Linked DNA regions of Rhinolophus ferrumequinum. The protein of the gene in region 4 interacts with the protein of the main gene of each other region in a pairwise test. Links are inferred from orthologs where the notes say so. Each region holds a gene or a part of one and is shown on either strand. Other genes may lie near its edges. The genes, in order: DPYSL2, SPTBN1, PPM1E and TNIK.

What was found.
Region 1: the proteins of TNIK (region 4) and DPYSL2 interact in a two-hybrid assay, tested with the Homo sapiens proteins (2 studies listed by BioGRID and IntAct). The link is inferred for Rhinolophus ferrumequinum from reciprocal best matches to the Homo sapiens genes TNIK and DPYSL2.
Region 2: the proteins of TNIK (region 4) and SPTBN1 interact in a two-hybrid assay, tested with the Homo sapiens proteins (2 studies listed by BioGRID and IntAct). The link is inferred for Rhinolophus ferrumequinum from reciprocal best matches to the Homo sapiens genes TNIK and SPTBN1.
Region 3: the proteins of TNIK (region 4) and PPM1E interact in a two-hybrid assay, tested with the Homo sapiens proteins (2 studies listed by BioGRID and IntAct). The link is inferred for Rhinolophus ferrumequinum from reciprocal best matches to the Homo sapiens genes TNIK and PPM1E.

The regions. Positions count from the first base shown.
Region 1 is NC_046301.1:40,889,257-40,896,737, forward strand, and holds the start of DPYSL2 (dihydropyrimidinase-related protein 2), read right to left. Parts: upstream 3,010-7,481; 5' UTR 2,995-3,009; coding exon 2,641-2,994; intron 1-2,640. Other genes in the region: PNMA2 (paraneoplastic antigen Ma2), read left to right, coding at 7,143-7,481.
Region 2 is NC_046296.1:33,100,157-33,108,140, forward strand, and holds the start of SPTBN1 (spectrin beta chain, non-erythrocytic 1), read right to left. Parts: upstream 3,007-7,984; 5' UTR 2,808-3,006; intron 2,091-2,807; exon of another isoform or gene 2,071-2,090; intron 1-2,070. UniProt on the Homo sapiens protein: Fodrin, which seems to be involved in secretion, interacts with calmodulin in a calcium-dependent manner and is thus candidate for the calcium-dependent movement of the cytoskeleton at the membrane.
Region 3 is NC_046304.1:27,053,201-27,060,401, reverse strand, and holds the start of PPM1E (protein phosphatase 1E), read left to right. Parts: upstream 1-4,183; 5' UTR 4,184-4,346; coding exon 4,347-4,801; intron 4,802-7,201. UniProt on the Homo sapiens protein: Protein phosphatase that inactivates multifunctional CaM kinases such as CAMK4 and CAMK2. Dephosphorylates and inactivates PAK. May play a role in the inhibition of actin fiber stress breakdown and in morphological changes driven by TNK2/CDC42.
Region 4 is NC_046285.1:71,065,076-71,072,368, reverse strand, and holds the start of TNIK (TRAF2 and NCK-interacting protein kinase), read right to left. Parts: upstream 3,014-7,293; 5' UTR 2,644-3,013; coding exon 2,587-2,643; intron 1-2,586. UniProt on the Homo sapiens protein: Serine/threonine kinase that acts as an essential activator of the Wnt signaling pathway. Recruited to promoters of Wnt target genes and required to activate their expression. May act by phosphorylating TCF4/TCF7L2.

The DNA.
Region 1 (7,481 bases), on a different chromosome or scaffold from region 4:
ATTTTTCCGTAATATATTTTACTATATAATATTGTATATATTATTATATAATATTTTACTATAAGACTAGGTCTAATCTAACATAATATAATATAAGACCGGGTCTTATATTGATTTTTGCTCCAAAGGAAGCATTAGAGCTGATTGCCCAGCTAGGTCTTATTTTCGGGGAAACACGGTAAGTAATGGCTACCTGATTCAGTCAAAATGGTGGGCCCAACTGTACTTTTGGAAATCACCATTGTTACACACACACACACACACACACACACACACACACAAATGGCTTTTGTGTCTTGAATAGTCATGAAATATTCAAACACTGTTAAGTACTGATCCTGGTAAATACTCTTAGTCATGAATGAAACAAATCCCAAAGGAACAGCCCTTACATGATAAGGCAAGATTGAAAATGAAAATTCAGGGAAGGCAGCAGAAAGACCAAGCCAGAATCACCCTCTGCAACTAATAACCAGGCAACTGAAGCAACTTTGGGTTTCCAGAGGCTAAAACTGCCTAGGGTTTGGTTTCCTCTTCAAATCTCCCTCTCCATGTGCTCTAGGTTTATCGTTCCTATTAAATTTAGAAAGTGTTCAAACAAGTAACTCTGATGATCAAATATTGGAACTTCTAAATGCATAGAAAAAGAGACGTGTTATTCAACCCAGTGAAACTTTGCCTTTCAAATCTGAGTTTTAATTCACTGCCATCATTATCAAGAAGACCACTGTCAACCAGCACCCCTTGAGCGGCCATTTTTAAAAATGATCTCTTCCTTATCGTGAGGCATTTCTCTGCGCCCTTTAGGACATTAGAATTACCAGCACAACTTGTTTAAGAGGAGGACACTCACACAAACGTGTGAGTGGCACTAGAGGTTCTGCTGTTCCTGCTATAATGATCATGGTTTGGCCCTCACCTAGTGTATTCACGTAGGAAAGCATTTCACACTCACCCAGCTTTCGTTTTAAGTTACATTACTAGAAGCTTTTACTTCAGCTGTCTGATCACTTGGTACAAAGTAAGTTTTCTGGATTAAGTTCTTCTGGTTGACTGATAGTGAAACGCGGATATCCGGTGACCCCTCCCCCATATGAATAAATCAGAGCACAGGGCTGGGAGAGAAGGAATTAAGTAATTAGTTGCCCCCTTTTGAAAATGACAGCAGATGGTTTACCTTTCCTAGAATTGGTCCAACAAAAGTGAAAAGCTGCAAAATTCTATGCCACATCAGGAAAGAGCAACATGTTTGTGCCATGAGCACCAACTCTTCGTTGTTCTCTGATGTGTTCATTAAAAGCACATTGTCTGAAGCCCCGGCAAATAAATGCTTGTGGAATCACTCAGTGACTATGTATAGGCCACTCCCAACTACTCTGAAAGCCCCGTAAGAAGAAATCACCTTGAACTTTTTCTATATAGCTAACTTCCCCCTGCCCCACAAGGCAAGGCACACAATAAGTATTCAATAAATAATCAATCATTGACTGATTTCTCATTTTCACCAATGGGCCTGGGAAAGAAACAGCAAACAAATGTTGAAACAGTTCACACTGTAATTTATCAGTTGAGGAATTAAGGCTCTGGGGGGGCTAGAGGGAATGCACAAGTATGAAGGTCACCCTGATAAAGAAAAAAAAAAAAAACAACTGTGGTGTGAGAAGACGACTGCTCTTAAAATGCACGCTGTTCTTATTCGCCAGAGATGACGAACATTTTCTAAAATCAAGGTTTACCAAATTGGTCCTCTTTGTTTCCCCATTAACACTGTATGGAGGGTGCCAATCCATCTTTGACACTGGATCCAAAATGTGAAGGTTTTTTTCCCCTTTTCTTTTCACTCTTTGAACATAATCCACTTGGTCCCTATCCCCAAAGCGCCTCCCACATAGGGCGGGTTGGGGGGAGCACGCTGGGAAGCCCTTGCTTTAATACTTAGCGGAACTTTGTTCTCCACATGGGCTATTTAGGAGCGTCTGGGTTTCTTCGGGGGACTCCACCGCCTGCCTGGTTCTTCTCACGCAGCACACTGGAGTCAGGGTGATGAGATTCTCCAGGGCGGTCCGGGAGGCGCTGACCATGGTCCTGGCCTCCAGCTCAGGACGCGAGCGCGGAAGGCAAGGAAGGAGATGCTGTAGGAGAGCGCGCGCAGGGCGCGGCGGGGAGCAGCCGTCGAAGCCCCCGCCCCTCCTGACCCCCAGGGAGCCCGCCGGCCTTCATGCAACCCTCCACTGCATGCCCAGAGCTGCATCCAAAAAAGGGTGGGGCACCCAGACACAGTTGCCATCGGAAGGCGCCCGGGAGGATTTAAGAAGAATGGAACCGCGGCCCATCCCCATCCCCCACCTTGCGACCCCCAAGCAGAGGATCGGCCGAACCTTTACCATCACCACCCATCAGGCCCAGGAAAGCGCGGGCAGCCTTTGTGGGCGCACGGCTGCCACAGTCAAGCCCGCGCCTCTCCATACCTTTCGCGGAGAAGGGGCGGGTTGGGTGGGGTGCGTGTACATATGCGGGGAGGGGCAGGACGGTGGGCACGCTGGGATGCTCGGTTCTCCACCGAGCTGTGAGGGGGGCGACGGAGGGGCGATCTCTGCGCCGGGTCCTCCTTCTCAAACACCCCCACCACCCAATACCAACCTGGTCGTAGATGTTCTGCAGGGCTTCCTTGCCCGAGGCCCGCCGGATCTCCACCTTCCGGCCGGATTCAACAGATGGCTCCCCACCCGCGCGCCGGCCCTGCCGGGAGTACGGTGGCTGCGGGTCGGGACCCAAGTGGGCGACGTCCCGTTGCTGAGCCACCACCTGCCCCGAGCCCCGGCCCACCGACAGTGAGTCGAAGTCGATGGTCTTGTTCTCCGAGGACCCTTCTACCGGGCAAAACATGCCACAGAATTTCTGCCGGGGCTTGGGGCTGCCTGAACCCAGGTTTTTAAAAAAGGCAGGGACCTCTTCGTCCTCTGCCGCCTTCCCGGATTGCTTCCTCTCGGCCATGGCGCGGGGGGCTCGGGGAGGGTCCTCTGCGTCCGCCCGTCCGTCTACGATCCCTAAGTCTGCCTCTCTGTGCACAACCCTCTGCAGCGGCTGCCGCTCTCTGCCTACCGCAAGGTGCACAGAAAGGAAGGAGGGCTGGTGAGCGGGCGACCCTCCCTCCCGGTCCCTCCCCCTGACCCCTCTTTTTCCCCTCCCTGCCCACGCCCCCCGCCGCCACGCGAGCTCCGGCGAGCTGCAAAGTTGGGTCTGGGAGGGCGGCCGCTGCGGCAGCGGGAGTGACAGGCTGCCTGCGGGTTCCCGGCAGCTGCAGGCGGAGGGAGGTGCAGGCGGGGCGCGGCGGGGGCGGGGCGAGGCGCTGGGAGCTCCGGCCCGAGCTGAGCGCAAGGGAGGGGGGGAGGGTTGCACCGCCCAGAGCCCCGCGCTCCGGAAGTGAAGCTGCCAGACCACCGGCTAATGGATGGGGAGCGGAGGGCCCGCTAACAGCTCTCGGCTCCAGGGTGAGTATGGGATAGGCACGCTGGGCGAAGACCCGAGGGCGCAGCCAGCCCCTGGCCCTCGCGCCCTTCTACCTACGCGACCCAGGCGCCTCTCCCCCACCGCATTGCGGAGGTAAACCGGGGGCTAGGGCCCTTTATGGGGAGGGCTCCCTCCTCTTACCTCGGGCATGAGCTGATGGATGAGGAAAGGGAAACAAACTGGCTGGCGACAAGACACCGGGGGAGAAGGGAAGAGGCCGCAGTGAGGATGGGGAGGGAATGGCGCAGGCCGTGCGGAGAGGTGGGGGCCATGTCCCGATGCGCGGGACACCAAAGCTTCAGTCTACCTACGGGCTTTGGAGGGCTGTTGGGGGCAGAGAGTGAAACGAGAAGGTTCTCGCTCAGTGCATCCACAGTTGTGGAGGGCGCACAGCACGGCAGGGAGAAATGCAGAGGCGGAGCAAATGGTGGTGGATGTGGGGTATAAAGAGACATAGGTCTGCGTGCTGGCGAGTGTAGCCAAGAATACAGTGCAAATTCCGGCCCAGCACAACTAATACATAGAGAGGGTGCCTGAGGGCGCCACGTACCGTAATTGCGCCACTGCGCCACGAAGGGCCCAGGAGAATGTTCTGATTTGGTATCTTATGCCCCCACCCTCCAAAGGGAGGGAAAGGCACAGATTACAATCCACTCCCCAAATCTCCAGCCCTTACTTGTCTGCCTCCCCTGTACCCCCGCCCCTGTTGCGCACTGCGCCAGAGCCGCGTGCGGGGGCGGTGGGGTGGGGGCATATGTGCCCGCGCAAGTCCAGTGTGAGGTAAGAGATGGGGCTGTGACTGAATGCTTTGAATTGTATGAGGCCAAGCAGGGTAACGGTGTGCGGAGACGTGGTTGTGTATGTGCGGGTAGACCAGGCGCAGCTACCTGGTTGGTGGATATCCAGAGAGCGTTTTGATATGTGCCAACAACACCGTCACTGAGCGCGCTTCATTGCTCACTCCCATCCCCACGTACTTTCCTTGTATCAGTCTTTGCCCCTGGTCGATTACAGCCCCGCCCCTTTTACTACGGTGGCAATATCCTGCAAAGACGATGCCCATCCTTTGGTGGTTCTAGAGGGAAGTCTGGGCATGCTCAGTAACGAGGGTGGGTTTGGGCTAAAAGAGGCTGTTTGCCGCCCCGGAAAGTGTGACCAAGGATTCTGTCCCATTGTCAGCTCTTGCCCTTATTAGGATTCGATGTGGATACTCTCCCTCAACCCAAATGTGAGGGATAGTTTGGTGAATGGAGTTAAATTTGGAGGACCACCAGTCACAGTTTGAGGAAGAGCCCACCATGATAGGTGGGAAGGAGTCTCCTGATGAGAAGGGGAGAAGGAGGAAGGAGAACGATACACGTGTAGGGAGCTGAGAGACCCACAGGTGGACATTCAGACTCAGCACCAGATGTGCTTCTAATTTGAATAAAGTGCTTCCATACGAATTACATCATTTCCTACTTACGGCAGCCTGTGAGAGGAGTGCTTTTCCATCACTACTTTCCAGGGTAGGAAACAGATTTAGAGAGATTCAGACGCCTTGCCTAAGGTTACTAATTAAATGATCCAACAATCCCAGTGGGGGTCTTCCACCTGAAAGTATGGTCCCTTTTCCAAATTATCCTTATGTTAGAAAATACAAAATTTTTTACATTTTTTCCATATCCAAATATTTCCTTCCGTGGACTTACTGTGTATCAAAATTGGTGGTTCAATTGCCATCTTTTTATTTGACAGTTACCTTGCAGGTAGGGACTGCATTTGGAGGAAGAAGCCATGGTAGTTGTTCCATAGACCTTGGAAATGTTTCTTCCTGCACATTTGATGCCTTTTTACATCTCATGTTTCCTCTAAAACTACAACGTGAGAGGAAGGTCACCCCCACATTGAAAGGGAAAGGGAGGCATGGAGAAGTCACTGGGCTCAGATCCATGAGGCTGCTGGGCCAGGGCATTATCCATCATTTTGCCCTTCTGGACCTCGGGCACACTCCATGCCGCCAGCACCTTCCAGAAGGACTGAGGAAATGTGCCTGTAGCAGGAATAGCTGCCACGATGGCTACAGGTTGGCATCTGTGGCATATGGACCTCACTCGGCTTGATGGAGAGTTTCAGGCCTAAGGAAGAATGATCATGGCCGCTTAACACACGCGGTACAACAGAACTGGGAGACTTTAGGAACGCTTCCCTTTTTACATTACATTACCCACTCTCCACTGGCTCTCTGTAGATATGCTCTCTCTTTTCCTTTTTTCCTCAAATGATCCATTCAAGTTCAAATGCTACAACAATACTGTCTTATTAGTAACTTAACATTCATAGCAAAAGAAACACCTATTTGTGCATTTGCCTAGCCTGACCAGACATAACAAAAGAGCATGATTCATAATCCAAGTTTAACTTATTTGGCCCTGAGATTTTCAAAAATTATTAAATGTATATTAAATTCTTATACCTATATTATTATATTATATTAAAGTATATTATATAAGTTGTATTGTTATACTGACATTAATTGGTTTTAAGTATTCGAGTGATTTCTAATTGGACTTTTTTCATCAAAGAACTGAAGCAACTATATTGTTTAGTAGATTGAATTGTGAAGGATAGTCATATTTTTTAATAAACTCGCTGACAGTCTTCATCATTGGATATTATCAAACTATAAAAATACACCATTATTATTTATGTGCAACAGGGCAGCTTGACTTGGCCAGAGCTAAGAAGGATGCAGACACGCCATTGTATGGAGTTGGGTGACATCTTCATATAGTAGAAGCTGAATAAATCAGATCATCGACTCTCATGGAACATTGGAACACATAAACAGGTATCCAGCCACATCTCCTCATATCATTCTTCCCGTGGGAAAGATCTTGAATCCTGGCCATAAGTGGGCTCAGACATTAATTGGTGTGTCTGATGAGTATATTGTGGGGAAGCCAGATGGCAGGAGGGTCCCCAAGAGGGGAAAAAAAATCACTAGGAGCAAAGAAGAGATCTGACAGAGTGGGACAGCACAAATACCACGTAAGGCAGAACCTTCGTCTATCTTCACTTCCATCTGTAACTAGAGTGTGGATGCTTCCTGGGAAGGAGAGGGCTGTGTGGTAACTGACCGTTGTTTCACTAGGAGTCCAAGCCACTCTGCTGTGAGACTTCTCTCCAGGAGTTCTGGGTGCCAGGGCAGAGGCGTTTCCCCACTGACTAGAGAGAGGTGAGGCGGCAGAAACCCGGAGAGTGTGAAAGCAGTTCTCGCCTTTCTCCGCTGGTCAGAGAGGGTCAACACCACCACGTGGCTGCTGGCATCCAGGAGAGAAACAGCACCCACGGGACTGCAGAGCCACAGACAGTGGCGCTGTCATAACTGAGACACTAACCACACACCTTGGGTCTGTTCTAGAGACATAACTGGAAGTGCTGAGTGCTTGCCACTGGACAAGTAAGGGTTTTACTGGTCCGTCCAGAAGACTTTGAGACTGATATTAGAGTGACCTCTCCTGGACCCATTCACTGGTGGGTTCAAGGTTCAGGAGCCCATTTAAAGGATACTTTAAATCCTAAGGCAGTGCCTACCTACACCACAAACTAATTGGTATCCGTAGAGTTAGAGCAAATACATACTCGTGAAGATGGCACTGGCACTGTTGGAGGACTGGTGCCGGATAATGAGTGTGGATGATCGGAAATCATTGATGGTGATGGGTATTCCGGTGGGATGTGATGAGACGGAGATTCAGGAGGTTCTCCAGGAGACTTTAAAGTCTCTGGGCAGGTATAGGCTGCTCGGCAAAATATTCAGGAAGCAAGAGAACGCAAATGCTGTCTTGTTAGAGCTCATAGAGGACATTGATGTCTCAGTGATCCCCAGTGAGGTTCAGGGGAAGGGGGGCACTTGGAAAGTGGTCTTTAAAACCCCGAACCAGGACACTGAATTTCTTGAAAGACTGAACCTCTTCCTAGAAAAAGAG
Region 2 (7,984 bases), on a different chromosome or scaffold from region 4:
CATCACAGACATTTGTTACTAGGTATTCTCGCCCAAGAGACCGCTTCAGAAACCCTGCACAACAGAGAAGACCTAGTGACCACAGTTTCTTCAGTGCCCCAATACTTCTCCTACTTTCAGATGAAGGTTTAGGTCAGTCCAGAGAGAACAGTTACAAAGAGCTTACTTAACCTAACAGAATTCTGCACCTGGTGTGTAAGTCAGAACAGCTAAACCTCCTGTGACATCAACACAGGATATTTTCTTACAACACAGTAAATCCAAAATGTCTGAATAATCATGGGAACAATACTCCCAAACATCTTTATGCAACACGATTTTATACAAGCAGACACCGATGAAGCCAAAATCCAAAAAGTTCTGTATTTTTAATGGCCTTCTTTTAAGAGAAACTCAAAATAATGCACATAAACCACACAATCTGCATTCAGTTCTACTCTGCAGAGCCACGTGAAATCAAATGCCACCAACTTGAATTCATGAGAGATTTAAAAAATAAAAGTAGACACACCCTTGCTTTGAAATACTGACCTTCTCTTCCGGTTAGTTAGCATACTGAAATTCCCTTTTTCCCTTAAACATTTTAGAAGAATCTGGGTGACATTTGAAATGTATTCCATTTGCCATCCCACAATGAATAAATGAATTGTAGAAGTGGCATTTAGATGGGAAATTCCCTGTGTATTAGCCCAGACTAAACAGATGAGAACACTGGCAACCGTCTCCTTCTGACCAGATACCAGCCACACAGGCCTCGGTGGTCTGCACTTCTCAACTCCCTCCCCAACGACATCTGCAAAAAATATGTATAAAAATACATATAAACAAACACAAATGAAGTCAGTTACCATCACAATCCCATTAGTCACAACGAACTTGGCTATCTAAATCGATAAAAATCTGAGTAACAATTCACTCATTTATCTAATAATCCCTAATAAAGCATCCAAATGTGTAATTTGATTTACAGAAAACGCAAACGATGAAAGCAATGCCAATACAGGTTAATCATTTACTACACATCAAAAAATATATTAAGTTCCTTTTAAAAACCTATTCAATGTGAGTATTTTTAGAAATGTCTCAGGGAGACATGAACTAAAACAGTAACCGTTTTATTTCAAAAAATAGTTTTCTCTAGGAAAAATTCATATTCTTATTATTGACCAAAGACAGAGGTACTGCAATGTAATAGTTACGATGCTCCAATAAACACAAACTTTTCATACAGGAAGAAATCGATGGATAATTGGGTTGTAGTCACAAATTATGAGTGATCCACAAAAAACCGCTGCGACTCCCAATGCTGACTGCACCAGCGCCTCCGCACACCGCTGGGCCGCGCGTCCTCCCTGCAGCCCCTCCCTACAGCTCAGGTCCCTTAGTCCGAGATCAGATTCCGATCCGCAGCCGCAGGCCAGCTCCCTCTACCCGCATTAGCGCCGCAGGAAGCCCCTTCATCGGATACAGCCCAAAAGGCGGGGCGGGAGGGGGTCACCCCAAAAAGAAGAGTCCACCCTCACAGCTAGGTGACCTGGTCCTCCTGACACCACATCCCGCTGAAACAGCAAGACAAGGTAGATGCTGTTCCCAGCCTCTGCCAAGGGCAACCCCGGGCCTGGGTGGGGCCGGGTGGGGGCCGCAGGCGCCCAGTGGCCGTGCCAAGCCCCGCCAGCGAGAACCCGGGGAGGCTGCGATACTGCTGCATTGTGCTGCATCACGGCGAGGGCACCGTGAGCCATCCATCTTGCCAAAAAAGCACATCCCCACCCAAACAAACCCACCGAATCCATTTTCTCCTCCTCGGCAGCGCCCTACACTTGCCTTCTCCTCACTTACTATGTGGCCTGGCTTTTGATTGGAAAAATAATGGACACGGTTTGTGTACCGATCCCTGCAACACTTCCCCACCCCATCTGATAGCATTTGGCATCTTTCCTATCACAAAAACAAAGGGAAGGCTCCCCTCAAAAAGAGGGCCGCGGGCGTGGTGTAAGGGGTGATAAGGAGAGGGGCTTCCAACCCACCACCCCAAAGGCAGGCCGGGAGGGTCTCCGCGCTGGTACAAACCTGTTGAAGAAAGGGTGGCAGGAGCTGAAGGGCGGGCGCAGCGGCGGCTCCGCGCCCGCAGGCGGCTCACGCCCAGCCCTGGGAGAGTGGGTACAGCAGGAGGGCGGGGGGGGGGGAGCGGGCGCGGATCCGCGAGCGGACACTAGGATGGGTGGGAGGGGGCACCGGGCCGCCGCCTCCCGCTCAGCTGCAGCGCGGCGCAGCCGGGACCACGCCTGGCCGCATCTTCCGTACCGTTAAGCGCAGAGCCGGGCCCTGTCAATGCCGCCCCGGCTCCCCCACCAGCCTGACTAGCAGGAGGGCACCCGAAAATATACCCTCGCTGCTGCCCACTGTGCACCCACCCCCGCGCCAGAGGCCGCTGCGCCCAGATGAAGGGACACGGCGGCGAAGATAGGGAGGAGAAATAGGCGCCACTGCGCCGGGGATGGGGCTGGGCGGCCGCGGTGCGCACCGAGGATCTGCGGCCGCCTCACTGCGGCCGCTTCACTGCGGGGCCTGCCGTCCCTGCCCCGCAAAACTCGAGCACTAATAAGCACTGGAGACCCAGGCTCCTGGTGCCGCCCCCGCCCTGGCTCTGCAGCCTCCCCGCCCCCACGCCGCTCCGTGGGGAGCCGGGCAGCGGCGTCCGCCGGACTGGGCCCGCGCCCCTCCTCCCGCCCGCCTGCCGCCCAGGAGCCCGTCCGGGTGGCAGCCCCAGTGAGTTGGCATGTTCCAGCCTCAGGCCCCTCACCTACCTCCCGCGGATAAGGGGTGGGGGCGTCGGGGTCCCGTCCTCCTCCCGCTCCTCGGCGGCCGGGCGGGTGGGCCGGGAGGCGACTCCGCGGGGCTGTCTGCGGCTGGGGCCGGGGCTCACAGGACGGGACCGGTGGGCGCTGCTGCGCGGGGCTGCGCGCTCGCTCCGGGTGGAGAGGCGGCCGAGGGAGGGACTGGAGGAATCCGCAGCCTGCACGGTAACAGCTGCACTGATTCCGGGGGCTGGGCTGGAGCGCGGGGCGGGGGAAGGAGGGGAGGGAGCAGGCAAGGAGGGGGCGAGGGGCGGGGAGAGGGAGCGCGCCGGCGCCGGGAGCGTGCACACGCGCGCGCACAGCTCTCTCCCGCACACCCTCCTTCCTTCCTCGGTTCCTCCCTCTCCCGGGCCCTCAGTGCCTGTCCGGAGCCCCGCAGCCGCCCATCCGGCGCCTGCTCCACGCGCGAGCCGAACCTCGGGCGCGTTCACGCTCTCCCCAGCTGAAGCTCTGCCGGGGCCCAGCGCCGACCTCGTTCCTTGTAGCCGAGACTGGCCAGGGAGAGCCTGGTCACAGTGGGCATCGCCGCTGCCACTACCCAGGCAAAGGGACAATAGGGACTTTGTCCCCACAGCTGGCGAGGGCCAATTTCACGTTTAATTTGAGGCTAATTCGATTATCGCCATGGAAAGGGGCAGCCTAATTATCTACGTGACTTGTGCAGCCGCTTTTCACCCGCGACGTTGCGTTTGGAACGCTACGGAGAGGGTTGAGGGAGGTTTTAGAACGTCGTTTGGTTGGTTTGGTTTCAGATCTAGGTGGTGGTGCCTTGTAGGTTCCACCCAGCCTAATAAAGAGCGATGGTGACCTCTCCGTGGGAAACCTTGGACGATGGGGGGAGGAGGGTTGTTCCTCGGCAAAGTCAAGCTCTTTCTCCTTTGTGAGCTTTTCCACCCTTTCCCTCTGGGTAGCTGGGAACATACACTACAAGTGGTTCGTCCAACTCCTGCCTCTGACCCAAACGCTGGCTCACTTTCACCTGAAGTGGGTGCTCTTCCCGAGACACTGCTCGAGAGTAAGGACGTCCCGGCTGCAGTGAAGGCCCCGCGATGGCTTGAGGACTTGAGTTCTCCCCCTCTCCACATATCCTGAGATGGACACCGGACGTTCGCCCCTTCTCAACCAGCTGGCCAACCCTGTCAATCCCCCAGGCTATGTAGAAATTATGGAACCAGCACTTTTGAGAGGAAAAAACGGTGCATCACTATGACCAAGACTAGAAACTCTAGAAAGCAATCTGGAGAAACTGATTTTCTGCCTGCTCTGTAGGTGCCCAACGGTGCCCACTGTAAGCTTCTGTGGAAGAGGCCCTTCTTGGTTGCAAAAGCCCCAAGGCTTTTCCCCTAAAGACCTAACCCTCAACCCCTGAATAAAAAAGAGAAATAAAAGACAGACAAATAGTTTGGATCATGCTTATATCTCGCATCAATAGAACTGAAGCTTGATGCGTTTATATTTTTGTATGTATTTTTAAATTAATATTTTTAAATAAAACTAAATGAAATTGTCCCCAGCAATTCATGAAGATGATTCTTCCTTTTAGGCCTTCACCATCAGTTTGAATGTTTGTACAATGTTTACATTTGAGATATAGATATATAAATAATTGAGGAAGGCAAATAATTTAACATTTTTCTCAGAAGGTTATTAACACAGCTGAAAGGTGAGCTCTCCAAGAGCAGGGTTCTGTGTTCACTGTACATAGCAGGCACTTCAGAGGTGCTCAAAAATTTTTTGTTGAATTGAACAGAATCAACAGGTAAGCGCTGCCCATATTAGGCAACACTGGAAATCCACTAGGAATGAAAGTTGTTTCCCTTTCACTTATTTTGGGCATAGCCCCCAGCACGTCCCCACCCACAATGTTAATGAAATAGCAAAGAGAACAATGGCAGTACTGGGAAATGCCTCAGTTTAAATTCTTCCAATACTATTCTGAAATGGTGACTCTTAACTGCTTCCTTTATCACAGATAACAGTACTTGAATAAATCTCAATTTGGTGGATGAGTCATCTCCCCTCATTCCACTACCACTTACTTTTTAAAAATTTCCTTCAAAAAGTGAGACCACATACAACCTTAGCTAGGTACTCTAGTAAAGAGGCAGTAAGTATTCCAAAAATGTAAAAAACAAGGATTCAGAGTTTCACTATAAGTACCTGCTCACGGTTTCAAATTCTTACCTTTCGGTGGAAAAAAATCATCACCCAGGAAAGCACAGTGTACACTGAACAAAAAGAAAGTAGCAGATCAAAGAAAAGACAGTCTAAATCTGGAGAGATTATTGGAGAAGACATATGCTTCTGTGGAAGAGCAGAATCTAGAAAAGACAAAAAGCCTCAGTCGGTAATGATGGTAACAAAAAGGAGTGTTCTCAAATATCTCCAAAGCAGCTTTGCTGAAGTTTATTATCGTCACAATAGAATTAAGGTTGATTTAAAGGAACCTAGAACTCATCGTTAAGAGAGAACTCATTGATAGCATGTCTGTAACACTCTAGTCTCCATTTTTAAAACCATGTGATTGTATATGGCTTTGTCTCCCATAGAAATAGTACTTATTACAACATTTTTGTGGTTATAAAGGACCTTCAAAATTTGTGAACAATAATAATAATCATAAGTAGCAACTATAAAATTCTTTCTAGTTTTTAAAGTCTTTTAGCACATATATCATTTTGTCCTTTTGTCAGTTCTTTGGGGTACATACTAACTCCATTTTATAGATGAGAAAACTGAGACACCAGTACTAAGTGTCTTTACATAGCTACTAAATGTCTGAGATATCTGCATAGAAGCTAGCATATAAGAGCTGTGTGTCTGGACATTGTATGTTAATAATTAAAAAGTAATTCTGTTTACAAGATGAGAAAAGTTCTGGAGGTGGATGGTGGGGATGGTTGCACAACAATGTGAATGTACTTAATGCTATTAAACTGTACACTTAAAATAATTAAAATGGTGAATTTTATGCTATGTATATATCACGACGTTTAAAAAAATTCTTTTCAAGTAATTCTGAATTTAGACTCCTAGAATAGTAGAGCAGATGCACTCTTAATGCTCCTTCATTTAACCCATTTGTTGGATTACACTGTTCACTCTGTGTGGTAAGCATATTGACCAATGTCCATGGACACAAAACACACTCTGCTAGTCGGCTGCAACTGTATATTTCAGCTCCCTCCAGTTGTGCTGTGTATTTACCAAGTCAGTTTTGTTTGTTCCCAAATTTGTTTATGCTAGTTATGCTTATTATACTTAATAAGTACACTTATTATAATTAAATATTACATGAACCAATTAAATATGAGTGTGAAAAGAGAGCTCTTTAGTGAAAACTAAGTTGCTTATTTTTGAATTGTCTGATAAAGGCTAAAAATACTGCCATCAAAATATATGTGGTCAAGATAACAATAAAAAAGTAGGGAGGGATAGATATCATAAAAACCTTAAAATATTCAGTTCAGGATGCTTTGCAAGTGTCCCTAAGTTCTAAATCAACTTAAAAGAAAACAAAAATGTGTATCAGCTTTGGCTTATGCAAAAAAGAAGTGGACTTTCAGTAAACATATATAAACACTTTATCAACCAATTAGCAGGTGAATGTAAATTTCAAGTAAAATAAAACATCTAAGTATGTCTTTTTCCAGATATAAACCTATCATTTTGTTTTCTTTTGAAATGTGCTTCAAAAGTTAGGCAATGAATTGATAGATATGACACCAAAAGCATGACAACAACAACAACAACAAAAATAGACAAACTGGACGCCATCAAAATTTAAAACTTTTGTGTATCAAAGGACATTATCAAGAAAGTGAAAAGACAACAGAATAGGAGAAAATATTTGCAAATCATACATCTAATAAGGGTCTAATATTCAGAATACATAAAGAACTCTTACAACTCAACAAAAATGGAGTTGAATAGAATTTTCTCCAAAGAGGATATACAAATGGACAACAAGCCCATAAAAATATGTTCAATATCACTAGTCTTTAGGGAAATGCAAATCAAAACCACTGTGAGATACCACTTTATACCCACTAGGATAGGTTCAATTTTTTTTTTAAATGGAAGAGATCAGATGGGCGGTGGGGTAGGGATTTGGATAAAGGTGGTCAAAAGGTACAGATTTCCAGTTACAAGATACATAAATCCTAGGGATGTAATGTACAACATGATGACAATAGTTAGCACTTCTGTAAGATATATATGAAAGATGTTAAGAGTAAATCCCGAGTTCTCATCACAAGGAAAAAAAAGCTTTTTTCTTTTTCTTTTGTATTTATATGCTATGATGGGTATTGATTAAACTTACTGCATTAATCATTTCACAATATACACAAGTCAAATAATTATGCTGTACACCTTACATTTATACACTGCTCTATGTCAATTATAGCTCAGTAAACCTAGGGAGAATACAGAAAATAACAAGTATCGGGTAGAATGTGGAGGAATTTGAAGGCTCATACTTGCTGGTGGGAATGTAAAGTGGTGCAGCTGCTATGGAAAATAGTTTGGCAGTTCCTCAAAAAGTTAAACATAGAATTATCATATGAGCCAGCAATTCCACTCATAGCTATATGCCCAAAGGAATTGATACAGGTACTCAAACACTTGTACATGAATGTTCGTAGTAGGACAATTCACAATAGCCAAAAGGTGGAAACAACTCAGATATCCATCAATGGATAAATTGATAACCAAAATGTGGTATATCCATATAATGGAACACTATTCAGCCATAAAAGGAATTAAGCACTGATACATACTGTAGTATATCAGTTCATTGTATACTTATTGTAGTATACTTAGCGTATGTACACTTAACATAATGAAAAAAGCCAGACACAAAAGGTCACATATTGTAAAATTCTGTTTAAATGAAATATCCAGAATAGGTAAATCCATAGAGATAGAAAACATATTGGTGGTTCCCAGGGGTTGAAGGAAGGGGCAGGAAAGAGGATTAATTTTACCTAATTTTAATTAATTTAAATTTAAATTAAAAATTTGATTCTATGTTCAGTTATTAGAAAACTTTTAAGTATGTTTGGAACAACTTGGGTATTTGAATCTACTTATTTTAACTGTGAATTTTATTAAATCTACATACA
Region 3 (7,201 bases), on a different chromosome or scaffold from region 4:
TGCACAAGTGATAGAAGAGCTAAAAAAGCCAAAAGGGAAGGTAAATCAGTGTCTTAGTTCATTTGGGTTGTTATAAGAAAAATACCATAGACTGGTTGGCTTACAAATAACAGAAATTTATTTCTCACAGTTTTGGAGGCTTGGAGGTTGAAGATTTGGGCTCTGGCTAATTCAGTGTCTGGTTGACAGATGGCTATCTTTTTACTATGTCCTCACATAGCAGAAGTGGAAAAGGTCTCTTTTGGACCTTTTATTATTATTATTATTATTATTATTATTATTATTATTATTGGGGAATATTGGGGAACAGTGTGTTTCTCCAGGGCCCATCAGCTCCAAGTAGTTGTCCTTCGATCTAGTTGGGGAGGGCTCAGCTCAGCTCCAAGTTCAGTCGCCATTTTCAATCTTTAGTTGCAGGGGGTGCATGCAGCCCACCATCCCATGTGGGAATTGAACGCCCAACCTTGTTGAGAGTTCGCGCTCTAACCAACTGAGCCATCCAGCCACCCCTGGACCTTTTCTTTTTTTTTTAAAGGCACTAAATCCCATTCATGAGGGTTCCACCCTCATGACTTAATCACCTCCCAAGAGCCCCAGCTTCTAATACCATCACCTTGGGGGTTAGGATTTCGACATATGAATCTTTGGAGAACACAAATACTCAGTCTATAGCAGTCAAGAGTAGGAAGCTAGAAGCCATTACCATCTCTAGGCTGATGGACAAATGGAAGAAGGTGATGTTTCTAGAGCTCAGGGGCTGGTGTCATAGGCAAAAGCTGGAATCCCAGTGGATGTGATTGGGGGAGCAAAGCTACAAAGGAAATGCAGCAGGCATTAGGACTGGTAGGATAGGGAAGAAATATCCTGGCTTTTCTCCTTTCCTCTCAGTTTCCAGTTTCTTGCCAATGCCTCCCACTGGGCAAATCTCAGCTGAAAGTCAGCTGTCAAGGAACAGTAGTGAATACAGCCTGAAAGGGTCGGCTCTCCCCAAATATAGAGCAGAACAAGGGAGGAAAAGAAATGGATGTGAAAGCAAAAAGGACAAGGAGTAACACAATAATCATTTATTTCTAACTTTGAAAATCAACTTTATTGAGGTATAATTTACATATGATATACTTACTTAAAATGTACTTTGATAATTTTTGACAAGTGAATACACCTATATAACCACCCAGTCAAGATGTAGAATATTTTAATCACCCCACAAAGATCCCTCTTACTCCTTTGCCATGAATCCCCCAGCCCACCTCATGCCCACTCCCAAGCAACATTAATCTGCTTTCTGTCACTATAGGTTAGCTTTGCCTGTCCTAGAATTTCACATAAATGGGATCATAGAGTATACACTTTTTTGTGCCTGGATTTCCCCCCCTCAGTATGTTTCTGAGATTCATCCATGTTGTTGTGTTTATCAGTAGTTCATTTCTTTTTATTGTTGAGTAGTATTCCATTGTATGAATACACCACAATTTGTTTATCCATTTACGTATTGATGACATCTGGGTTATTTCCAAGTTTATGAATAAAACTACTGCAAACATTATGTACAAAGATTTTTGTGGTGTGTGTGTATGTGTTTGGTGGACATGTTTTCATTTCTTGTGGGTAAATATTTGGGAGAGGAATTGCTGGGTCATATGATAAGAAACTGCCAAACTCAGCAATTCTTTATAACCTTATAAATATCATTACCGTAAATGTCCGCGAAAAGACATTGTGCATTTCCTCCAAAGAGCTAAGGATTAGAGGGAGAACAATTTTTATGAGAAAAAAATTCTTTACAATCTCAAAAATATTTAAATACCCTCGATAACATATACTTTTCATAGCTTAATATTTTTTAATAACTAGTAAAAAAGGGGATTGGGGAAGTGTAAGAGGAGAGGAACTGAAAAAGTAAAGCAATGCAAAATAATGACTGAAAAGATTTCTTGACAATGGCAAAGTCATCCTACACAGCTGCTCTGAGATCCCAGCACTGCTGTCAGCAACCTTCTGGCAAAGCTACTCTGTCAAATGGATGCACTAGAATCCATACTGATCTTTTGTGAAGGAATATCTTCATTAATATAAGCAAACATGTCTCTCATTTATAGAAATATAGAGGTGTGGGCTTTTTCTTTTACTCTTAGTAGTAATGTTTCCCCAACACATAACAGTTCCCTTTGATATGTGGGTTGAGTCATAAATTAATGTCACAAATAAATGTCACCTAGATGAGGAAGGCAACTACATTAACAAAGTAGGAAGGTGTAGCTTGATATGAATTGTTACAGTTGACAGCTATGTACTCTTGAACTAAGTGTTATCTTTTCTAATTCTGAGATGTTAAATAGTTGTTAGAATGTTAACCTGGACATTTAGGTGTACAGTCTTAAAAGTTTTGTCAGTCTTTTCTAGATATTCTGAAATGGAAATGAACAGGTGGATTGAAAACAAAGATAAATGAGGAGTTTAAAGACTTTCTTGGCAGGAGGTGAAAGACTTTCTTGGCATCTCAGAGAAGTTGCTCTACACTGGTGATATTTTAAACAAAACACAAATACATTTAGCTTGTGTAGAAACAGACTTATTTACGGAGTCTTTCCATTTACCTTTGAGACAAAAATAAATAGTTATAGGGGACTCATGCATTACTCACTCTACATTTTCTATCATGTATTATTTAATCTCAAGCTGGGAGAGAGAATGGACCTCTATTTTACATGATGCCACAATGTACATTAGTGAGCTCAGCCCACTTAATCTTAAAATAACAGTATCAGGTCAGGGATTTAGAACACAGTATTATATGAAAACAGTTGGCAGGGAGACTTCTCCTGCCATTAATAACTGACTAGAAACAGCATTTCAGACCCTAAATCCAACTGAAACCCAGAAACAATAAATGGAGAGGATGGGTTGATAATTTGTGAGTTTTTCAAAGTAGAAAAAGAATCACTATGTTTTTGCTGAATTATATGTTGCCATGGACATGGAAGTATGCAGTAAGGATGCTATCATCTATACAGCTGTATAACAACACAGCTTCTGCCTCTCCCAACCCCCCAGTAGGGCTCGAAAATAATAGGCTTGTGTGTAGTTTGGTAAGAAAATCAGAATAATTTAAAGTCGTTTCAGTTTCAGTCTAAGAAAGAAAGAAAAGAAGCTGGGGGTTGGGGAAGAAGAGCTAACAAAATGTATACATATTATGTAATAAAGTATATGTATTATGCAGAGACTAAAGAGGGGTGTCTTGGTGTGCTGGAAAACTAATGGCTTTGTAGTGAAAAGACCTGGATTTTGTTCGTGTTGCATCACGTGTGTGACCTTGAGCAAAGTCACGATGTCTTTAACGCTCAGTTTCCTCATCTGTAAATTGGAATCATAATGGTAATGTCTTTAACCTTGAGTCACTATTGTAAGGATTAAAGGGGTGAAAAACAACTTGTAAACTAGAAAAGCCTAGAAAACTAAGGCTTTACAGACATTGCACTGTTGAATCTTGAGAGGCAAAGAAAAGGGAAAAAGGCTTTGGAGGCTGACAACCTGGGTTCTGATTCCGATGTCATGGCTAGTAGCTTTGACACCTCCAAGCGAGTAAAGTATTTAAAATCCTGTTTCCTCTTTGTGAGAAATGAGGAAACACCACTTTCTTCGCAGAATCAAATGAGAGAAAGTATGCAAAGAAACCTACCACTTGGTAGGTGTTTGATGCCCTCCCCTGTCCCAAACTATCATACTTATTAAAGGAGTGTCATCAACAACAAAAGGTGTTCACACTGTGGTATCTTTCAACTGATTAAAGGCTCTAAGGGCAAGGCAGGAACAGATAAGGAAGACAAGTAAATCCAATCAAAGTGGGAACCAACAGCTAGACTTGGAGATGTCTTAGTTCACTTTATCCACTTGAGGCTATGGTAGCTATACAATAAAGACATTCAGAGTTGGAGAGCGGGAAGTCTAGCGTCCGTTCGACTACGCGGACTCGACGGGAGGGACCCTGAAATTCTTAATTAGAGCTGGTTGTCATGGCGACAGTCTCTAGGCAGCGTGGGCTGAGCTCTCTGTAGGGCTAGGAGGTGGGCCTCCGCTGGACCCTGAGCGCGCGCCCGCCACCAACTTTCCCTCCAGACCCGAAAGGGGAGGCGCGCTCCGCCCCCGCCCCCGGGTCGCGCACGTCCGCACTCGGCGGCGCGCACGCCTGCGGGAGCCCTCTCCAGGCTACCTAGTGCTGATCGCTCGTGCCGGTGCGGCCGTTAACCGCCCTTGCGGGAGCCCGAGGCTCGAAAGCAGCCCCCTCCGCTTCCTGGGCTTCCCCCCCCCGCCCCAACTTCCCGGTCGGCCCCGGGGCATGAGCAGCGATGGCCGGCTGCATCCCTGAGGAGAAAACTTACCGGCGCTTCCTGGAGCTATTCTTGGGCGAGTTTCGGGGACCCTGCGGCGGCGGCGAGCCGGAGCCGGAACCCGAACCCGAACCCGAATCGGAGCCCGAGCCGGAGCCCGAACTGGTAGCCGCTGAGGCGGCCGAGGCTTCGGTCGAGGAGCCTGAGGAGGAGGCGGTCACGGTAGCCGCCACGGAGGAGGGGGAGCAAGAGCAAGACCCCGACCCCGAGGAGGAGGCGGTGGCGGCAGCGGAGGGCGAGCAGGAGGAAGAGGAGGAGGCGGCGGCAGCCCCGGGGCAGTCGGCCGTGTTGCCGCCGCCGCAGCCCCAGCTGCCGCCGCTACCCCCGCTCCTGCGGCCGCTGTCGGAGCGCATCACCCGCGAGGAGGTGGAGGGCGAGAGCCTGGACCTGTGCCTGCAGCAGCTCTACAAATAGTTAAGTGGCGGGGCTCGGTTGGGGGTGGGCCCGCTGTCCCTGCCGCGTCGGCCCTTCAAACTGCTCTCTATTCCGCTCTTCACCCCCCCACCCCCCCGCCCCACACACACACCCGCGCCTGGCGCCGCTGGAAGCGCCCCCGCTGCTCGGACTGGGGCGGTAGGCTGCGTGCGAGCTGCCCACGCCCGCTTAGGTCCCGGTGCTCCCGCTGGTCCCGGAGCCGCTCCTCCGACCCCTGAGCCCTCCTGCCGGGCCCGGCTCTTTCTTCCAGCTTCATCTCGGCCGCCCACTTCTTGCTCCACTTCACCACACACACCCTTTCTCCTTCGTGCCTCCGAAGGTCCTTTCTTCCAGTCTTGAGAGTTCCCTCTTCTTCCCAGCTCCCTGCCTCTAGGAGGTTTTTCTCCCGCCCGGGTCTGTCTTTTTCTCTGAGCGCCTTGTTTGGCGGCTGGAGACGAGACTCGGTTCTAGGCTGCGCTGCGAGATGCTTCCTGCGTAACCGCGACAACAATGATTGTAATACCCGCCTGGTAGCCGCATGCATGAGGAGAGACTGGAGTAGGTTTTTCTGCCAGGCGCTCAATGTGGAAAGTGAAGAGCTCTTTAGATGGCTTAATCCATGGGCGCCTAGCATCCTAGTTGAAAGATATTTGATAACTCCTAATTGAGGGAAACGGGGAGAACTTGGGAGGGAAGAGTAAGCAAAATTTTACACGCGAGCCCTCAGGTGAAGGACACCTGAAAAAGCCCTAAGTCGTTAAAGTGGAAAAGTCAGGCTGGTTTGATAAAATTGCAATTAGATGCAGTATTTTCAGTCCATTAAGTAGATGGAGTAGGGGAGAGAAAGCAGATGGCTTAGCTACACAGATGAAAAGTCGAAAATAGAAAGGTCAAGGCTTTGCCTTTCATCCCAGTTCTGGTTTTTATGGGCTTGAAATAGAAACGGTTTACAATTGCGTCTCTTGCTAAACGGAATTGTTCTGAAATAATGACAGAGGAGAATACTAACAAGTTTCTGGAAACATTGGTAAACCTGGGAATGAATCTTTTGCCATTCTGCTGATAGTTGTAATGAAAGGTGTTACTCCGGACCTACAAAAGTTTACTACTGCACAATTCACTGCAATTAAATTCAGACTCACTTCTCGGATTTTCTCAGAAGCCTAAATTAAGAGAAGGGCCTGGAAAGGAAATGTTTTGTCTTTATCCAACGTGACCGGGGATCAAATCATTTTCCTGTGAAAGCAGAAGCTTATCAATAGGCAAAAAGCATTTAACATCTGCTGTAGAAGCAGGCTGTAGTGATGTTCCACACTTTATAGGCTATTTAAAATTTAATTTGGAAATACTGTCGATTACCAAAGTAATAATGCTTTTTGGGAAATTTTTTTTAAAAATTGGCATGTAATAGCACCACCCAGAGACAACAGTGTTAACATTTTAGAGTCTTCCTAGTGTTTGTAAATTATCATAGAAATGGGCGTATGCAATGTCATTTTTAAAGACGTTTAAAACTTCCTACTAAAAAGAAAATGGAAATGTTTACCAAAGTGGGAGAATTTATCTCAGCATCAGACTAATTCTATTTTGACAGTTCTTACCTTTACAAACACAGTTGCAGAATTAAACATACGTTTAAACAGAGAAGGTCCATTAAAAAGAGACTCATTAGTTTAGAACAGCCACAAACATTTGCCAGTAAAAGTTTTTTTTAAAAAATGAAACCTATATAAAGATGATGGCAGGTAGACATATGTTTTCCATATGGAAGGAAAGCAAGATTAATTTTGATATGCATAAAACTTGAAAAGGTAAAATGGCTATCTAATTGAGAATAGAAGTTTGGATTTGAAGTAAAACTAGCAAAATTAAAGGTGGAAAATATTTTGCTTTAAATCAGAGATTTCATCATTTATACTGTGTTTTATGCAGGGGCTATTAACCTATTTTTATTCAGATATAAAATGGCTGGCTTGTTCATGTAAAGTAACTTCAAAATTCTTAAACAGATACCCCCACCAAAAAAAAAAAACCCTAAGTGTTAAAAAAAAATACTTTTAATGCTTTTAGTTTTCATTTTGTTATTTATAAAAGGAAATCATATCACTTAGTTACAAGAATCAATATTGGAAGGCACTGTTGGGATAGATCATTTTCTGACCAAGCACTTTATTTTACAGACAAGAAAACTATGGATTCAGATTCAGAAATGACAGATTATGTATAAAAGATTCCAACATTTCTCAATATAAGTTATAATACTCATTTAAAACTACATCTTTTTTCTTATTAAAAAGTAATAAATGTTCACTATAAGAAGTGGAGAAAATTCACATTAGCAAAGAAAAGAAAATAAATACCAACCATCCAGTATTAACTGTACTTTTTAGGTTTTTTTC
Region 4 (7,293 bases):
AGAGCATTGATTGTGTACATTAAAGAGCCACTGAAACAGCAAGGGACTGGTAAGGCTGCAGCAAATTCTCCTAGAAGCCACTGACCTTGGCTGCATTTCAGGGGTCAGGCATTCCCAAAAGGTTCTCAGCAGGCAGGCTGAGGGTTTAGGAACACATGAAACCTCTCATCTCAATGAACCCACTTCTAATTGGGGAAGACAGAGACAGATGATCTGTCCTCTGATTTGTGAAAATTACCTATATGGTCTTTGGACCCACTCCTGGCCGACACACCTCACCTACCACAAGACTGGTGGCAGACCCCAGCCCTCCCACTGTCTCCACATCTGCATGTAAGTCCTCTAGGCAGCAGGCAGCCTGTTCTCCAGTCTCCTGGGCTAGCCTTAGCCCTCCCTCCCTCTTTCCATACCTCCTGCAGGCACAAATACAGAGGCAGAGCACTCAGCCCAATTCACAAATTTCAGTGAATCTTGCAAAGATATTTTTTCAAAATATAGATCTCAGGAGTGCAGGTCTCCCATGTGTGAACTGCCTCCAGAGCTGCTGGCGAGCGCTCAGGGTTGCCCACAAGCCCTGCAGGCTCTGTGCTCAGTATCTCAAAAACCCTTCCCCAAGAAAAACCACGAGAGACACCTCTGACCAAGCCCAACTTAAATTCAGAGTGCTTTCCATTACAGGAGCGATGTCAAGATTCTGACTCAGGAAATTCACACGTTTCGCCCATTGTTCAGATGCCTTCCCCAGCCTTTGCCACTTTCCCCCACTCTGAAGTCTGGACCATCCATCCACCTGATTAACTGGCTGGCACCAACTCCCAGTGCAGAAAGTAGGGCAAATGAATACACACACAGTCTGTAAAGGAAGCGACAGACTCAGCCAGAGCATCCACCCTGTTACCAACCCCCACCCCCAGCTGCCCAGGGGGCATGGGATTCTGCATGTGGCATTTCAAAGGCAGTAAAATAGGCAGCTTACTGTAATGATGCATGAATGAGCTTTTGCTGCCCAGCTATCAAAAACGCCAGTTACAAATGGCATCTCTGTTCCTTCTCAACCCCTTGACTGCCTTGCAGAAACCTCACCTTTTGGATGCAACGATTCAAGAGAAGGCGAGGAGGAGTTAAAAAAGAGAGAGCTAGGTAGGGAAAGAGGATTAATGACACTAAAGAAAAAGTGACACTTTGACCATAAAGATAGCTCTTGAAAATAACAGTGGAGAAGGAGGCAGTATCCAGAGAAGTAGTGGAGATTCAGGGATATAACCCCAAGATGCAGTACAGTCTAACAATGTACTCCTCAGGATAGAACGTGAACTTCCAAGCTTCAGCCGTCCTGCACGTCCCTGCCTTGAGAGCCACCATCAATTCGGTCTCATCCACCCTCCATGTCTCCTGTATATACAGTTGCTTTTTTAAAATTTTATTTTTGGTTCAGGAGTGGAAGAAGCCGGCTGTAAATTGGAATCTACTCCTTCTAAGACCCCTGCTGCTGTGGCCACCCCCACCCCTCATCCCCTTCCCGGCAGGCAGCATCCAATTAAAATGGCAAGAAAGCTCTGCCCCCTTCCCCGAAGGAGAGTGTTGAGATTGGGGGGTGGGGGTGGGGAGGCGTCGAGGCTGCACTGGGATTCCTGGGATTCTGGTCTCAAAACAACAGCAAAATGGATTCTATACCAGTGATGTCTTAGTCAATACAATGAAACGGTGTCTGAGGCAATTCACGTGAAGGTAAACGCAAGCCGGTGGGGCTGAGGGTTGGGAGGTGCTCTACAAAGGACTGGCCACAGACAGGGAAAACACACACACACACGCACACACACACACACACACTCGGGAGTTCCGGTCTGATTGGGGAACAGCAGAGAACACATCCCTTTCACCTGCTTAAGTTCGCCATAAAACTGAAATGTCACAGCCACAAAATCAGAAAGCACAGGCTGGGCTCAGTTTAAACCATAAATAAAGGTGAGTGGCAGACTGGCCATTAAGAGAGCGCTGAGAGGGAGTCGGGGCGCGGAAGGCAGAAAAGGGGGGAAGAGGGGCCGTTGCCATCTACAAGACCAGCATAGAAACAGCTGCCCCTTCGGAGAAGCAGGGACCACTCCGTGGGAACCACCAGGCTCATAATGTCATCTTACAGGTAACTGTAAAACGTGAGGGGCCAGTACCTTTATTCACGCTGTTATTCTTTTTGCAGAAAGAATCAGGTCTCGCGCCTTGGCACGAGACGACTGCCCCGGGCTTGTGCGCGCACACACATACTCACACACACACACACACACACACACACACACACACACACGAGCCTTTCATTTTAATGCGCTTACAAGGGTCTAAGATGAAACTGGCATAAGCTCCACACGCTCCTGGGGGTTTTTCGGCCACAACCAGTGGACACGTACCGTACAGCCCCTGCTCTAGGGGCTTCGGAGAAAGCACCTCAGCAGCCCCCAAATCCAAACGAGAACCCAGGTTCCCTCCGCGTCGCATTCGCCCGCCTCTGCCTACCAGCCCCAGTCGACGCTCCGATCCCATTCACCCTGACCCAAACCACGAGAAAGAAATCAGAAAACGTTCTACACTCACCCTCAGAGCCGAGAGATCGATTTCATCCAGGCTGCGAGCCGGAGAGTCGCTCGCCATGTCTACTTCTTCGCCAGAGAAATGGACCAAAACCACCCCGAAGCTTTTCCCTTGGAAATTCCACCTTGGTCTATTTCACTCGCGTCCTCATGCGGGTGTCGCGCCAGAGGCCCCTGGGCCCAGCCTCCCCCGCCCGCCCGGGCTCCACTGCGCCGGATCCTGATCCTCGGCGCCTGGGTCCGCCCGGTCCAGGAGCCCAACCTGCGCTGATCTCCAACCCCGGAGCAGCGGTGCGTGTGGGCTGCGCGCCCTGATCGGCTAAAGGCGCTGGGGCTGCGTGGGTGTATTTAAATGGGACATGCTTCTTTGCTTGTGCGTGGATGGCGGCTGCATTGGCTGTTATAATGAGACACATCAACTCCTCCACTCAGCTGGGGGGTGGGGGTGGAGAACCACACAGAACTGTCTATCATCGCTTCCTGGGAGGAGTAAAGGGGAGAAAGAGGCGGAGGAGGCGTGGCCTCCGACTGGGGAGAGGCCGCGCTTCCTGACCCGTTCCCTCTGCACCAGAGTGGACGGGGGAGGGGCGGGCACCCTTTCCTCCCAGGCTTTTGTGGACTAATAGGGCTGGCTTTGAAGAGTTGTTTCTTAACCCTGCGGTCCTTATCGTAGAGGCAAAGGGGCTATTTGAACACACACATTATTGTATGTCCAATTCGTGCGCTGCAGCAATATGGCCATTTAATCGCATCTGGCGGTTTCTCGGCAGGGTTCAAATGCTGTAGCGCTGAAAAAATCCAGGGAAAAAAAAGAGCGACGCCCTCCCTCCCCCATTAATTATTTGTGGGGCTGGAGTAACGCAGGCTGGTGCAACCGGTGCATATAAGGACTTGTGTGCAAGGAAAGGGATCCGCCTCCAGCCGCGGAACGAATGGGGGAGAACGCGCGCTCGCACGGTGCGCCCTGCCCCGCGCCTCGGCAATTTGCCCCCGCGGCTAGGTGGGGTCCGCCAGCGGCCCGCGGGCTCCCGGATGGCGGGTCACTCGGGTAGGAAGGTTTCCCAGAAGCGGGAAAGCTGGGAGTCCGAGTTCCCTCTTCGCACCGCCACACCCAGGACCTGCCCGTGCCGCAATTCCCCCACGGAAACAACCGAATTGAAACGAGAAGCTTGCTCTCTGGGTGCACTAGCTCTAATTCTTCAGGTAACTCCAAAGGCAACACTGGGTAAGGCAGCGCACGCCGACTCAGGACTCTACATTTGTCTTTCAGGGAACGTTACCGCGGCTGATCTACCCAGATTGATGGAGAAAGTTTGGCTGGCGTATGAGATGTAACAGACGAGATGTGCGACCAGAGAGCAATCCCACTCCACCCGCTTTCTCATTTAAAGGCTGAACATTTACAGTGGTAAACATGACATTCAAGAGTAATCAAGAGTGTGAAGTCGCTTCCTCAGCCCTGCCACTGCCCTCCCTAGCCTTGCCCATCCTGAATACATACGTAGAAAGAAACGCTAAAATTGAACTTTTGCTCAAATACAGCAGTAGCTTTGAAAGCATCACCGTTGCACCTCTGTTAAGATAAGATTTACTTCTGGCCAAATGCATTGAGGATTTTTTTTATCGTGTAGATACCAGCTTAAGAATAAGGCTTTTGAATGAATGGATGGATGGATGGATGGATGGATGGATGGATGGAAGCCCAAGCAGTTAGTTCGTCAGGACTGCAGACATTAGAAGGCTTTTAAACAGCATTCGATAGGCGCTGTGCTGTTTTTGTTATTATTGTGTTTATATGCACTGTGCATCATGAAACTTGAATAAGATTACAGCTCAATGGCCACAGAGTTGTTTAGGAGCTTTTGCCATTAAAACGACAAACGTTTAAACGTGTTATATTCAAAACGCTCTATGTGATCTCTTATTTTTTAATAAAATCATCCAGCTCAGGGTGGTAAATAACGGTTTAGTAAGCCACCGAGTAATGTCGAAATGACGTAGAAAACTATCATTTCCTATTATTATCCTTATTTTTCCCATCTAAGTGCCTTTTTTACCCTTAATCTAGATGACAAGTGTTGAATAAAATTAAGTAAAATCAGGTATTGAGATCTATGAACAGCACTATTGCTAAAACTCCGAACATATTTAAAATGAGATAAACTTTGTTTTTTTCATGGAGAACCTTCATTTTATACTCCAGATTTTATTTGAAACATCAGAAATGGATCATTTCTTTCGGCATTAGTATGCTGTTTCAGACCATGAGAATGCCGTAATACCGGCACTACATTCTACCCTTGGATTTAGAGTTAGATCACAAAACTATATATTCTGTCATTTGGTACTACATGGGAGAGGGCTTCCTAGGAGCCCGGAGGATGACAAGAGTCAGGTAGAGGCAGGGGTGCTGGCTGCAGGAAATACCATAAGAGGAGAGGTACAATAGCCAAGGCACCTCCAGCTGCTAAGGGAAGAAAAGGAGGAAACTTGAAGCAGCTGGTGCTAGAGGTGGAGTAATAGTGGTTACTGGCCTGAGGAAGACAGATCAGATCAGGTAGAGCTTGGTAAACCTCCTGCCCTGTTGTTATTTGCTTAATATTTTCTTTGAATCAACATTTTTTTTTACATTTAAAAGGAAACATAAGTTACTACTATAAATGGAAAGCTAGCAACACTTGCTAAAAAGAAAAAAAGAAGAAGGGAACCATTAAAATAAATATAATGGAAAATAAAGCAATATCATTAAATTCTACTTAGCGATCATGGCCTGCTTCAGGCTTCTATTCTGAGGCCTGCTGTTAGGTAGTTGTTAAAAGAGAGGTTAACAAAAGCCAGAAAAGTCATTCAAAATTTTACCAAAGTGAGATTTTCTTCTGGGTGTAATCCGAGAGATTGAAAGAACTGCTATCATATATATGCAGTTTGAAAGCCTGCAGAACAATACGATATTCTGTTTATATCTATCTAAATATAAAAAGCATGGACATAGGCTTGTATTCTGTTTATATCTGTCTTAACTATAAAAACCATGGACACAGGCAGGAAGGATATAGATTAACTTCAGGATAGTAAGAACGGAAGAAGAAAACTAAAATGGGAAGGCACAAAGGAGCTCCAACAATGATGTCTAATTTATTTTTTTAAATATCTCAAGCAAATATTGCTAAATGCTTGGAATTGCTAAATCTGGATCATTACACTAATGGCTATTCATTATATTGTTCTCTGTATCTTTTTGTATATTTGAAATATTTTTGTTTTAAAAATATTTATAAAAAAGAGAATTCCAAAGGGGGTTATGTTCTCTGTATTAGGTTCAATGTTGTTTATTGTCAAATCCAACTAAAATAAACATTGTGGAAATCAGTAACACTGCTGGTGGAGCTTCTAAAAGCACACTGTACATCTTATGTCACCACAAATTCCTAAATATAACAGAAAATATATTTTAAAAAATTCATTAGAGTTCTAGAAGACAAAAAAGGCAGCATCCATGGTCTAGCAATTCAGAGGACTTCCTAGCGTATAAGACACAGGCAGGATTGGACTGCCAGTTGAGATACAAACCAAAACTGTATGGGGTGGGACCAGAGTGAGAGCTGGGGCAGCTTCAAACTCAGAGGCAAAGGCTAAAAAGAGCAGGTACTTTCATCATGAAGAACGATTAAAGAATGGCATCCATTCATTCTTTCATTCATTCAACAACTGTATGGATCATTTACTCTGTGCAAGACACAATACGAGGCCCTGGAGATTTTCCTTCATAGAGTCAGATAATACACTTATAACTAATTGATAACTAAGATTATTTTAGATGGTGGTAAGTGAAATGAAGAAAATTAAGCAAGGTAATGAGAATTAGCAGGTGGATGTGTCCACCCCCAGCCCTGACACCCACTATGAGTATGGGCGTTCGGGCCAAGGAGACAGGGTATCACCCCAAGGAACTGATCACCAAGTGCTAAGAGAAATGGGACCACATACACCCACAAGCAGAAGGTAAACTATCTGCATGCCCTGCCTTGCACCATGTCCTCTCCGGCCCCGCTTCCCAACAACCACATTCAGCAAAGCAAACACTCAGAATTAGAATCCACATCACAAATAGGCAAATGAGATTTCCAAACAGTAAGATGAGTAGATAACCCAGAACACTAATCATTTGTGGAAACCTATTACTATGAAAGAGAGGCACTAACTACAGTCAACAAATGAATTAAAACACCCAAAGTTATTTTTAATAGCGCAAAAAGAAGTTTTAATATATATATAATATATATATATTATATAAATATATTATCCTCAGAGGGATAATAGAGGACTTTACATTCATGAAATAACCACATTATTATGAAAGCAAACCAATTAGAGGACTAATTAAGAATATATTTATTGAATTTTTTATATGAATAGAAAGATTAAACAATAATAGCTAATACTGCAGACTCTCCCAAGTATTCACGTATTAGCGTATTTAATCTTTATACTTACAAAATAGACAATATTATTAGTATATTTATTTTACAGATGAGTAAACTGAAGAATAGAAAGGTTAATTAACCTACTCAAGGCAACACAGGAATAAATGGCTGAACCAGAATTTGAACTCAGGCTCTTAATCACCATGCAATATTGACTCAAGCTAGACTGAAGGGTGAATTAATAAGCTAGAAGATTGTGCTCAGTTTTCTCCCAGATTGCAGGAGAC